Linked DNA regions of Neurospora crassa OR74A. The protein of the gene in region 2 purifies or fractionates together with the protein of the main gene of each other region. This does not show direct contact. Links are inferred from orthologs where the notes say so. Each region holds a gene or a part of one and is shown on either strand. Other genes may lie near its edges. The genes, in order: NCU05587, hH2Az and NCU06491.

Region 1 (3,749 bases), on a different chromosome or scaffold from region 2:
TGGGTGTAAGCCCCATCGCCTGTGGAGCGCCGGGTGGGAAGGGCGAGGGGTCGAAGCCGTTCATCTTGGACATGGCCCCGTCGGTCGCAGCGAGGGGCAAGATCTATAAGGCGCTGAGGAGGGGAGAGAAGATACCGACTGACTGGGCTTTGGATGGGGAGGGCAAGCAAACTGATGATCCGGCCAAGGCGCTGGAAGGCGTGATGCTGCCTATGGGTGGGCCAAAGGGGTCGGCGCTGGCGATCATGATGGATGTCTTCTCCGGCGTGCTTTCGGGTTCTGCGTTTGCTGGAGGCGTCACGGGGCCGTATGATATGTCCAAGCCGGGGGACGTTGGCCACTTCTTCGTGGCCATCAAGCCTGACTTGTTCATGAGCCTGGACGAGTTCAGGGAACGCATGGATATCCTATACCAGAAAGCGGTGAACTCGGAGAAGATGCATGGCGTCGACAGAATTTACTTCCCGGGCGAGATTGAGCAGCTGAACGAGGAGCAGAGATTGAAAGATGGCATACCATATGCCAAGGCAGAGATTGATGCTCTGAATGCAGAGGCTGAAAAGCTAGGCTTGGGCAAGATCCGATTGATAGAGTAGAGCTTCATATATATTGGGTTATTTGCACCTTTGGAGGTGAAATGGGCCAAATTCTTCGTCTGAGCCAAGTTTGTTTAAAATAAAGAAGCTGCAGGCGATCACAACAAACCACTGATGAGGACGATGGTGTGATTTGGTCTCTTTCCGAGGGTTAGCGTTGATCCTTTTTTCAAACCATTTTGAAAACTTTACCAAAGGCAGCATCATGGGTATCACAAGGGTGGCAAGTAGCTCGCCCTCAGAAACTCTGATACCTGCTTTTCCGTGTAGAGCTGTAGGTAGCTGAGATCAGTTGCGCGGTTTTGCCCCAGTGCATCTCAATCAAGATCAACACCCAGTCTATACACCCAGCCCATCGAGACAGAGTCTTGGTGTTCTGGCATGGCACGGCAGGGTTTCGGATTGAACGGCGCTTTTCAGACAGAGTGTATGGCACTCAACGTCCAGAGACAGGCAAGAAGCAAAGCGTACTAGCCCACCCTGCTCATTTTTGTCTGGGTAGTATCCAGCCGGGCACTCAATCAAGCAGCATAGGGAGCCGCTTGGCAATCGCTTTATGGGCTAATGAACCCTGGAAAGCTTCAAAAATGGCAATAATAGACTCCAAGCAAATGCTCAGGGGTCGAGTCCGAGCCCAGCAGCAAATTTTCTTGCCACCCAAGCAGCTCCATGTTCCTCATACTCTTGCTTGGTGACCTCGAGCTTACTGGCATGTTCATGCTTGGCGAAATTGGCAGCTCCCAACCAGGTGCTGATGATAGGGTCTTCCGGGCGGGCAACTCTGACCCTGCATTCATCGGGGAATCGCTTGAGAATCTCTGTTTGCAAGCGCTGACAGAACCCTTCAGAGAGACTGTTTCCTCCCACAACTACGATATTAGCCAGAAGGCCAGGCCACAGTCCAATTGGCACAGCCAAGAGGGACTGCTTGACTAGGTCGGCGATGCCAGGTTGCCGGATGCCGATATCAGAAGGGTTGAAGAGGAGCTCTGGAACAACAAAACGCTCGTTCCGTAGCGTCAGGACGTCCTCTGTGGATACAATGCCCTTGCGGGCGCGCGCCGAGACACCAGGCTCGTAGTCGCGGACAACACCGTGGAAGCGCGTGTGGGAGTCGGGCAGAACGTAGTCTTTGGCGATGCCAGCACCGCTCAAGTAGTCCTCCCTCTTTTCGCCGCGCGTCCCTTTCCAAGTCTTTTCCAGGTCTCCCTTGAAGTCCAGGGAGGTGTAACAGACTGCTTCTTTCATCTCGTTCACAATGTATGGTTCGTTGCGCATGTCGAAGTGGCGGACGGACAGTAACCTGGTGAGATAATTGGTCATGAGCTTGCCACCCACATCAAGTCTTCGTATGGCCGGATGTAGCGGTCGGCCTTGGAGGATAGGCGTAACGGTGGTGTGAGAGTAACCCGAGTCGATGAGCAGGATGACTTGGGCTGGACTGTCTATGGTGGATTGGGGTGTTCGGAAGATGGATTGTATGTCCCGGTACGCGTTGAAGACAGGACCTAGAAAACAAGGTCAGCACCCTTTCCCTAACAGCTCTCTAGGAGGCGACATACCCAGGCCACGGTAGTAACTCGCAAAGCCATACTCCTCAAAGACGATCTGGTCACAGTGTGTTTGGAGAGAAGGCAATGAATTTGGTTGCTCTGTGAGAATGAGCCTGGTGTCTGATGGGTCGCATTTCTGCGCAGCTTTATCGTCGAAGAACTCGCGATCCCAGATCTCTTTCTGGGCCTCCCAGTTGACGATAAAGCCCTTTTCGACGGGGCGCCTGAAGGCCAATTCGCTGAAGTCCTTGCATTTTTCGAGTTCCGAGCCGACATAGATCTTCCTGTGACGGTCTCGAGCGAGGCAATTCGGAATGATGCGAGGCTTGCCGTCGCTCTTGTCATCGGAGACGAATCCAGCCTTGATGGTGTCGGCGCCGTTGTCGAGAACCAGGGTTGTCGTGGGGGGTGCCGGCCCTGCCGCCCGGGACTTTTTAGCCCCTCCTCGTCCGGTCATGACAGTACTGAAACAACAGCTGCTGACAATTGAATCCCTCTCGCGCCCCGGCCCTCGTAGCTTGAAGTGCGTGGGAGAGTCGCGTCGCGGTTGTTGTCGCAAGAACCGTCAATTGTTTGGGTTTCCACTTGCATCGACGACGGGACCTGCTGATAAGGGGAACGATAAGGGTTGTCAGTGCCACCCGGACCTCGACGGGCTGGGGTTCTCTTGCTTGGCATTTCATCATTTCCGCCGCCGCAAGTGTACACTAAAGACTCGCTGACCTGACAGCGCCGGAGAGTGAGAACGGAACCTGCCGGCGCCTGCCACTGCGGCAGCGGGCACAACACACCGGAGACACACACACACAGCGCAGCCTAGGGCCTTGTGGAAATCTCGACTGGGACCGGGCAGCCCTGCCTTCCGTCATCCATCACTTCACTTCCACTGTTGAGAGCACACTCCCGCTCCCGTCACGGCAACTGAACTCTGCAACCCGACCACTACAAATCCCATCAATGTTGCCCCACTCAACTTTTACCTCTGACTTTTAAAAAAAAATTAAATGACAAGGTGAACATTTCCACCTCTCAGCGTATTTTGCCCCCCTTGTGGAATCAACCTCATCCTCTTGTGCTCCGATACCGAGCACTCACTCGATGCGCTTTATCGTGGTCAGTATCGCATAAACCCATAACTGCTAGTTTTAGCATGTCACAACGATACCAGAACGGCGGTGGCGGCGGCGGCGGTCGACGTCGTGGTAACGACCCTCGGGACGACCGCAATGGCTATCAACAACGCGCGCCGAATGGCCCTCATGGTCTCCCTGCCCGACCTCCCCAGCCGACATCGTACCGTCCCTCCGACAACTACTCCAACCGCAACAACGGTGGCGGTGGCGGTGGAAGAGATCGCGACAATTACCGGCCTCCTCAGGGTGATTTCTCGTTTAGAGTAGAGAAGCCGCCGGGAGTCAGCAATTCGAGCTACGACAACTACCGTCCCAACGACAACAGGCAGTCCTACAATGGCCGCAGAGCCCACTCTCCCAGAGGCGATCGTCGCCACGGAAGACCCAGTGGCCGTGGACGAGGCCGCAACGCTGGCCCCCACGGAGGTTTTAGGAAACCGTGGCGTCCTTTTGTTGCGGCTGAGCGC
Region 2 (3,689 bases):
ATGAATAGAATTGCGCATCCCAGACTGTAGAGAGAACATAATAAGAATTGGTATCGCAAATTTTCAAGGCTCTTCCTTGTAGCCTTTATTCCGCCACTACCTGCAACCAGTACCAACCGACACGTTCATTTAACGTGTCCTGATGTTTTCCTCGCTAAGCCCTCATGGCCGAGTCGTACTATAAAAAAAACGATAAAGAAGATTCATGTTGTTACAGATATCGTAAAAGAGCTGCTGTCGCACGCCGCGCCGTGACGAGGGGAGATTGCTCGCCGTTCCCAGTGTGTGGTGCACTCCAAGATGACATTATACAGTGAATGGTCTCCCTGCTCATCGCCACCCAAGCGGCTTCCACGTCTGGATGATACAGAACGCTTCGCTTTTCGTGTGTGTTCCGAACGCACCACTCTGCTGGAAGTGTCGCAAGGGAAGTTCGCCGTCGTCTATGCGCTGCGCTTGTTGCCGTCGCAGACACCGGGAGTGCTCGGCTTTTTCAAGCCATGGTTCGGTGGGCCCCAAGCCCGTGTGCGTATCCCAACAACAAATAATAGGAAGAAAATACCCAACAATACAGCGGCGTTAGTGTTGGATTAGCGAAGACAATCCCCAACCCCCCCGGCATCACCCCGTGACATCCCTTGAACAAGCCGATTGCTGTCCTGCCCGTCAGCCCGGAGCGGGGCTAGAGAGATGCAAGACAGTGTGCGAAACGTGTGCGACGTCGAGTTTTTCGGTGCAGTTGTGGACTTAAGCCTCCTGAGCCTTGGCCTTCTTCTTCTGCTCTACCTTGAGCAGAAGGGCGCGGTTAATGTGGGGGAGGACACCACCGAAGGCGATAGTGGCGCGGATGAGGGTATCAAGCTCCTCATCTCCACGGATGGCAAGCTGAAGATGGCGGGGAGTAATACGCTTGACCTTCAGGTCCTTGGCAGCGTTCTATACAACGGAAATCATTGAGTTAGCCATAAAGCAGGTAAAACTTGGAAATGGGAGCCTCCTCGTCGCCAAGCAATATGGCCGAGCGGATGGGGTATGAATGACTTACACCCGCAAGTTCGAGGACTTCAGCAGTCAAATATTCCAGCACGGCAGTAACATAGACGGCAGCCTTGGCGCCAACGCGCATCTTGTTTTGGGTGTTCTGCTTCAGGAAACGCTTGACACGACCGCAAGGGAACTAATTAGATTCAAGTCAGCATGGCGCATCAGACACACGGCAAACTCCAGAGGACGGAAATGCACGCCGCAGCTCCGCCTCGTTGTCAGAGCGAGAAATCCAAAGTTAGGGACCGGAACAAGGTCCGGGTGCGGGGCCAGGGCGAGAGAAGGATGCACAGAACAACGCGTCCATATGAAGCCGAAATAGTATCGCGTACGGGGCGCAATGGGGGTTTTTTTCTTTTACCCAGCGGCGGGGTTGTGTGCGACCGACGTGTGAGGCAGCGAGTTCGCGTTCTTCGTAGGTTGGCACTATGGGGTTGTCCGGAAATGTAGGGGGCTCGGTGGACGCGTTGTGGTGTATCGGCGTGATTCCATCGACATCTGACGACAGGGATGGCGGATGCGAGCAAAAAAAAAGTTGGTTGATGAGACGACGTCGATGGTGCAGATCGGAGCAGGAATTGAAAGCGGACAGAGCCATGAAGCTCGTCAACTATAAAAACGTACCTGAAGACCAGCGCGAGCAGAATGGCTCTGCTGCTTCTTGGGACCTTCGACGCCCGAGGTCTTTCCACCCGAGCTCTTGCCGCCAGACGACTTGCCCTTTCCGCCAGCCATTGTGTTTGTTTGTTTGTTTGAAGGGATTGAACGGGGTGGGATGGTTGTGCGCGGGATGGGCGGATGGACGTAGTGTCGAGAATAAAACCGGTGGTCGTGACGATGCTGGATGTTGATATTGACGGGGCAACGGCGCGGGATTTGCGTGGAACTGGTGGAAGTGGATGAAGCGGGGTTGGCGGATGGAAAAGTGGTGTTTTGGCCGGAAGGATGATCGCGACGAGGTTTGGTGTTGAAGTTGGCGCCAGGAGACGCTCGAAAATTCAGAAGGGCCGAAGATGCATGCCACTGATGGGCCCTTTGATGTTGTGTCCTTCCAGGTGATTGCCCGCCGTGTTTGAGCGCAACCGCGCCTGAGACATGCGTCCGTACAGGAGGGAAGGTGCCGACGTCCAAGCTAAGCGAAGGGATGGAAGCTCGAGCTCAGTCAGCTAACAGCCAGCTCCCGTGGGTGCTTTGCTTGCCGTGTGTGCTGATTTGTCGCTGTTGCTGATTTTTTTTTTTTTTTTTTTTTTTTTTTTTTTTCCTCCTCCGCAGAGGGAGGGTAGGTAGGTTAGTGTAGGTAGGTAGGTAGGTACCTTGGGGTAACCTTGGGTACGGCGAGCCAAGCAGACCACTTGACCAATTCGAAGGGAGCTCCGAGGCTTGGCAATATCATGAAGCTCCAGGCAAAGGCCCAGCCAGCAAGGCCTCGAGCCAGCCATGACGACCCAGTGAGGTCCATCTCGAGACAGATAGCCAGACCTCAACTCAGCCTCGCAAGGGCCGTGGCTGACACGGTCTTGCAGAGAACCTTGCCGACATCTCCGCAATGAACGGCCCAAGAAAAGGCCTCCCAGGACAAGTCCATGTGATGCAAGGGGAGTCGCATACCTCACTGTTGCCCGACGTTGAGAGCACCTTTCTGGTTTGAAGCCATGCAGAGATCCGCGACGGGCACTGTCCGGGCCGGCCACCCAGCTGGTTAAGGCGGGCCAAAAGCCGTCAGAGTCTTTGGCAATGAAGGCCTGAGCATCTTCACAGCAGATTTGCACGCTTTTCCGAGGCTGGCGTGGTGTTGCAGAGTGTCTTGAAATGTTGCTCAGATAGTGTGATTCGGAGCCTTGGGTGAGCCTTTGCCAATCTGCCGCTGGTTGTTGTGGTCCGTGACCTTACTCCAAAAACTCGTCGCAGCCGTGCCAAGCTTTCACGTTACGACATTTCAACTGGCGCAGTGTCTGCCAGCTGTCTGCGCTTGAGCAGACCGAGCTGTCTGTTTTCAGTGGTGACTGAGGTTCAATTCACAACGAACTATGTAAGCTCCCAACATGAACGCTTCAAACAACGTAAATCGTGCAAAGATGCACACAGTAATTGTGTGCCTTCTTCACCACTCTTCAATTCCCTCTCGCAATCCTCGCCAACCTCTCAGCCTCACATCTCCGTCTTTCCACTCTCTGCAATACCTCCAGCCTATGACGGTCGTTGCTGATCGGGTCCTGATGCCCCGAAACCCGATCCGATACTTGGGTGGTAGTGTCGTGGATGTATCTGTTCATCATGGAGCCGTACTCTCTTCTTCTGGTGACACAAGATGCATTAGATAACTACTTTTGCCATTCCGCCTGTAATATGGAAGCCTTTGGATTATGTTTGTAGCTCAACAGCCAACTACCAAAGGGATGCCGACGTACGACGGGATTCTAGGATTGGGAAAAAGATAAAAAGAAACCATGGCAAGACCCACTTCGGAGCTTGGGCCGGTGCGGGTAGATCCCCGGCTCCCGATGTGGGGCCGACCGCCGCGCCATTTGAGCCATTGCCGCTACCGGTGTTGCCAGCACCGCCGCTGTAATATGTGCTCATGATGAAATGTACTATCCGACTGTCGTATATAGTGTACGCTACTCCAGCGGGAAACTCAGTAGGTA
Region 3 (3,507 bases), on a different chromosome or scaffold from region 2:
TGACGCTCTCCTGAATCCTACTCCAAGTAGATAGTCACCGCTACCACCTTTTACCATCCTTCAGTTACCTTTTTTTCCCCTTCTTATTAGCATCAGCTTCGACTACTGGTCGGTAAGAAGGGGGGTAAGGTAGAACCTCTCAAGCAAGTCTACCTTCAAGGTTATTTTCAGATCTCAAAAGGGCTTTTAAGGCGTGTGTACATAGGTAGAGGTACCCAACAACCTTGGATGGTTGAACTACCTGTTGAAGACAGGAAGTCAGACGTAGATAATCTTCCGTTGTTGAGTTTCTAGACATTCTCAACTTGGAGGAGAGGTCGTTGATCTAGTACTGAATCAGCGGAAACCAACCCCCCAAATAATCGAATAAGCTCCCAAGATACATTGGGAAATCATTGTGAACAAAGGACCAAAAAGCGTTGTCGTCGGCATCCACTGCCAGTGGCTAGGTACCCCAGACTGGTGTTATGGAGCCATTCAACAATAAAATCGTCCAAAAAAAAAAAAAGAAATTGGAAAAAAAAATCACTTCGACGTGGGCCTGATTCGAACAGACGCTCCCGAAGGAACAAGATTTCTAGTCTTGCGCGTTAGACCACTCCGCCACCACGCCAGTTGATGATTGGTTGATGATAACTGCATTGAGAAGTTGGGATCATGAGTCAGACAGCGTGGTGCATGGGTACAACTTGCCAAATGATTTCTGGATGAGAAATGCATGTTCCTTTGCAATGTGACCAGGAATTGCAAGGAATTGATATGTGACTGTGACCCTGAGTTCATGCAAGTCGTGTTTTGCTTGGTGTCTTCAACGCGTTGGAAAGTTCCGATATTGAAAACTGGGGTATCTCTATTTGGCGAACGTAAGAAATGAAATGGTGTTGCATAGTGCTGTCCTTCCAAACTTGTAGTGGTAAGGGAGACGCCATCCATACAACAATAATAGGCAAGCGACCAATGGATTGACTGGAGATCGTGACACGCTCACGTCTTCCCCGCCTGCGCCATCCTCGCCCTCCTCGCCTCCTCCTCCCTGCGCATCTCGCTCCTGGCCAAGAAATCCTGCCTCGCCGCAAACGAGTCCTTGGACTTGCCGGCCAGCTCGAGCTCGTCTTTGAGGCCCATCTTGTCGACCGCCACCGCCCAGTCCATCTTGCTCTTCTCGACCGTGTTGAGCTTCTTGGCCTTGTTGCCCGTGGCTTCGCGAGCCTGCAGGCGGGAGGCCATGCTCAGGTTGAGGTCGGAACGATGCGCCGAGTTGGCGTCGGTGATGGGCTCGAAGACGGACCGGAAAGCTTTTCGGGGCATGCGCTTGGCAGAGGAGGACTCGTCCTCGGCGGCTGTTTCGCCGTCCGCTGGAGCGTTCTCTCCGAGAGAGGCGAGATAGAGTTTTGCTTCGGCAGAATCGCGGGCAACGAGCTTTTCTTCAGTGTGGACTTTGCCGGCGAAGTTGTAGGTTCTCTTGATCTTTATGAGGTCGGAATCGGGATCTTTCGCCTTGGCTGTTTCTGGCTGCTGGGATGACGATTTCGCGATGTCACAGTTCGCTGGATCGGCGCTTTCGTCTGGTTTCGCTGTACTTGTTCGTGGTATGACCGGCTCGCTGATCATTTGCGCCCAAAGGGCATCGACGTCGATTGTAACAGGTCCGCTGGCGGCGGCTGTTGAACGTTTCTCCTTTCTGCCATTGTCGTTAATGCCCAGGACCCAAAGAGAAGAGGGTTGATGTGAGAACATACTCAACAGCGCGTTGGCTGCGCGTCTTGATGAGACCGCCCTCGCCAGTTTCCTCATCGTCGGCAGCAAGTTTTGTCTTTGTTTTCTTTTGACGTTTCTCCCCCTTCTTTATTATAGCTTCATCTCCAGAATTGTCATAACCAGCGTCTTCCGCCTCCTCGATGGCAGCGCGTTTCCTCTTCTCGGGTTTCGCTTTCTCGGCATCTTCACCGGCTTCTTCGTCGTCATCGTCGGATATTGATGATTCTCCCGCGGCTTCGGCAGTTTCTGGGGCGAAGTCGGAGTCTTCCTCTGACGCGTAGTCTTCTGCAAGAAGCTCTAGTGTTGGCGCCATCTTGGTATCTCGCGAATATAACAGTCTGGTCTTCCTCAAGCTATTCGCGTAAAATTCTCGTTGCCGTGTGTGTCGTCGTTCCAAGAATGGTACCTCTTCCAAGTATCGTGGGCCGGAATATTAAAGTGGAAAAGTGATGAAGGGAACAAGGACGGGATCCATGTCTTTGTCCGATCGACTGCAGCGTGACAGTGGAAACACAAACGCTCTGTTAGCAGCCAATAGGGCAGCTTGCCGTCATGTCGCCGCTGTTCGGCTCAAGCTCCCCCGCATCACGCCCACACCTTCCTTGATGTCCCGCTGAAAACGCCCCGCAACCGGGAACCTTTTTAGAGTTCCGTTACTATCATCCGATGACAAGCTGGATCTGCCCCTGACGACGGGATGTTGTCAACCACACCACTGGGACATGATGTTCAGGTTCAGAAAGGCCGCTATCACGAAAATGGAAAACTGGTGATGCCGTACTCTCCAATAAACCTGGCGATATCCAATAGGGTATTTCTGGTTAAACCAAAAACCACCCCGCCGGTTACACGTAGCCTAGGGCGCCTACGGAGCAAGGATGGATTACCTAGCTGCCTCGTGGCGCAGTGTGAGGCGGCATTCCATTCGGAGTCCGGAGTTGTCGTGACAGTCGGATTGATTAGCCTGGGTTAGTTTCTGGCGGGATCTTGAAAAGAGTATATAAGGGTAGAGATAGCTTGTCGGCCCCGTTCCAGTCTATAGCCTTGTTCTTTACGCTACTTTCTACAGGATGTGTCCCAAAGGCAACATCACACTGAACATGTCGTCGTCATCTGCTCTGAGTCTTGAAGAGAAGGAACACTTCCTCACTCATGGCTGGGTCAAGTAGGTGTCATGCCACCATACCAGCTGTTCAACCTCGTTCGAGGTACTGACCATGCCAGGATCCCGGCTGCCTTCACGCAGCAGAGAGCACAGGAAATCATCGCCAATGTTTGGACGAGACTAGGAATGGATCCAAACGACAAGTCCACCTGGAACAAAGAACGTGTCAACATGCCCTCACATATGGAGTTCGACGCTGCAGACTTTGCCCCTCGTGCCTGGGCAGCCATCAGCGAGCTTTGCGGCGGCGAGGATAAGATCGCGAACTGGTCGAAGAAGTGGAAGGACTCCCTTATCGTCAACCTGGGCACACCACAGAAAGAAGGGAAACCAGTCCCCCCGCAAAAGCTGGACAATTGGCACGTCGATGGTGACTTCTTCGTCCACTACCTTGACAGCCCGGAGCAGGGCCTGCTCGTCATTCCTCTCTTCACCGATATCATGCCCGAGGGCGGCGGGACCATGATCTGTCCGGAGGCAATCCCTATCCTCGCCAAACACCTGTACGAGCATCCCGAGGGTGTCTCGCCACGTATGGCACCCCGCAGCGATGCCGAGTTCAAGCAAGAGCAGCATCTCAACTG

Evidence for each region.
Region 1: the proteins of hH2Az (region 2) and NCU05587 purify together in Saccharomyces cerevisiae (affinity purification with mass spectrometry, with the first as the bait; 4 studies listed by BioGRID). This does not show direct contact. The link is inferred for Neurospora crassa OR74A from reciprocal best matches to the Saccharomyces cerevisiae genes HTZ1 and ARP6.
Region 3: the proteins of hH2Az (region 2) and NCU06491 purify together in Saccharomyces cerevisiae (affinity purification with mass spectrometry, with the first as the bait; 3 studies listed by BioGRID). This does not show direct contact. The link is inferred for Neurospora crassa OR74A from reciprocal best matches to the Saccharomyces cerevisiae genes HTZ1 and SWC5.

What each region holds. Positions count from the first base shown.
Region 1 is NC_026506.1:1,416,880-1,420,628, reverse strand, and holds the start of NCU05587 (actin-like protein arp-6), read right to left. Parts: upstream 2,706-3,749; 5' UTR 2,607-2,705; coding exon 2,159-2,606; intron 2,105-2,158; coding exon 1,212-2,104; 3' UTR 789-1,211; exon of another isoform or gene 737-788; 3' UTR 597-736; coding exon of another isoform or gene 1-596. Other genes in the region: NCU05586 (malate/L-lactate dehydrogenase), read left to right, coding at 1-596; NCU05588 (topoisomerase TRF4), read left to right, coding at 3,300-3,749. UniProt on the Saccharomyces cerevisiae protein: Component of the SWR1 complex which mediates the ATP-dependent exchange of histone H2A for the H2A variant HZT1 leading to transcriptional regulation of selected genes by chromatin remodeling. Involved in chromosome stability.
Region 2 is NC_026502.1:1,389,926-1,393,614, forward strand, and holds the start of hH2Az (histone H2A.Z), read right to left. Parts: upstream 2,899-3,689; 5' UTR 1,780-2,898; coding exon 1,669-1,779; intron 1,178-1,668; coding exon 1,046-1,177; intron 937-1,045; coding exon 748-936; 3' UTR 1-747. UniProt on the Saccharomyces cerevisiae protein: Variant histone H2A which can replace H2A in some nucleosomes. Nucleosomes wrap and compact DNA into chromatin, limiting DNA accessibility to the cellular machineries which require DNA as a template.
Region 3 is NC_026503.1:1,608,552-1,612,058, reverse strand, and holds NCU06491 (SWR1-complex protein 5), read right to left. Parts: upstream 2,492-3,507; 5' UTR 2,072-2,491; coding exon 1,740-2,071; intron 1,682-1,739; coding exon 985-1,681; 3' UTR 624-984; downstream 1-623. Other genes in the region: NCU06490 (hypothetical protein), read left to right, coding at 2,829-2,923, 2,983-3,507. UniProt on the Saccharomyces cerevisiae protein: Component of the SWR1 complex which mediates the ATP-dependent exchange of histone H2A for the H2A variant HZT1 leading to transcriptional regulation of selected genes by chromatin remodeling. Involved in chromosome stability.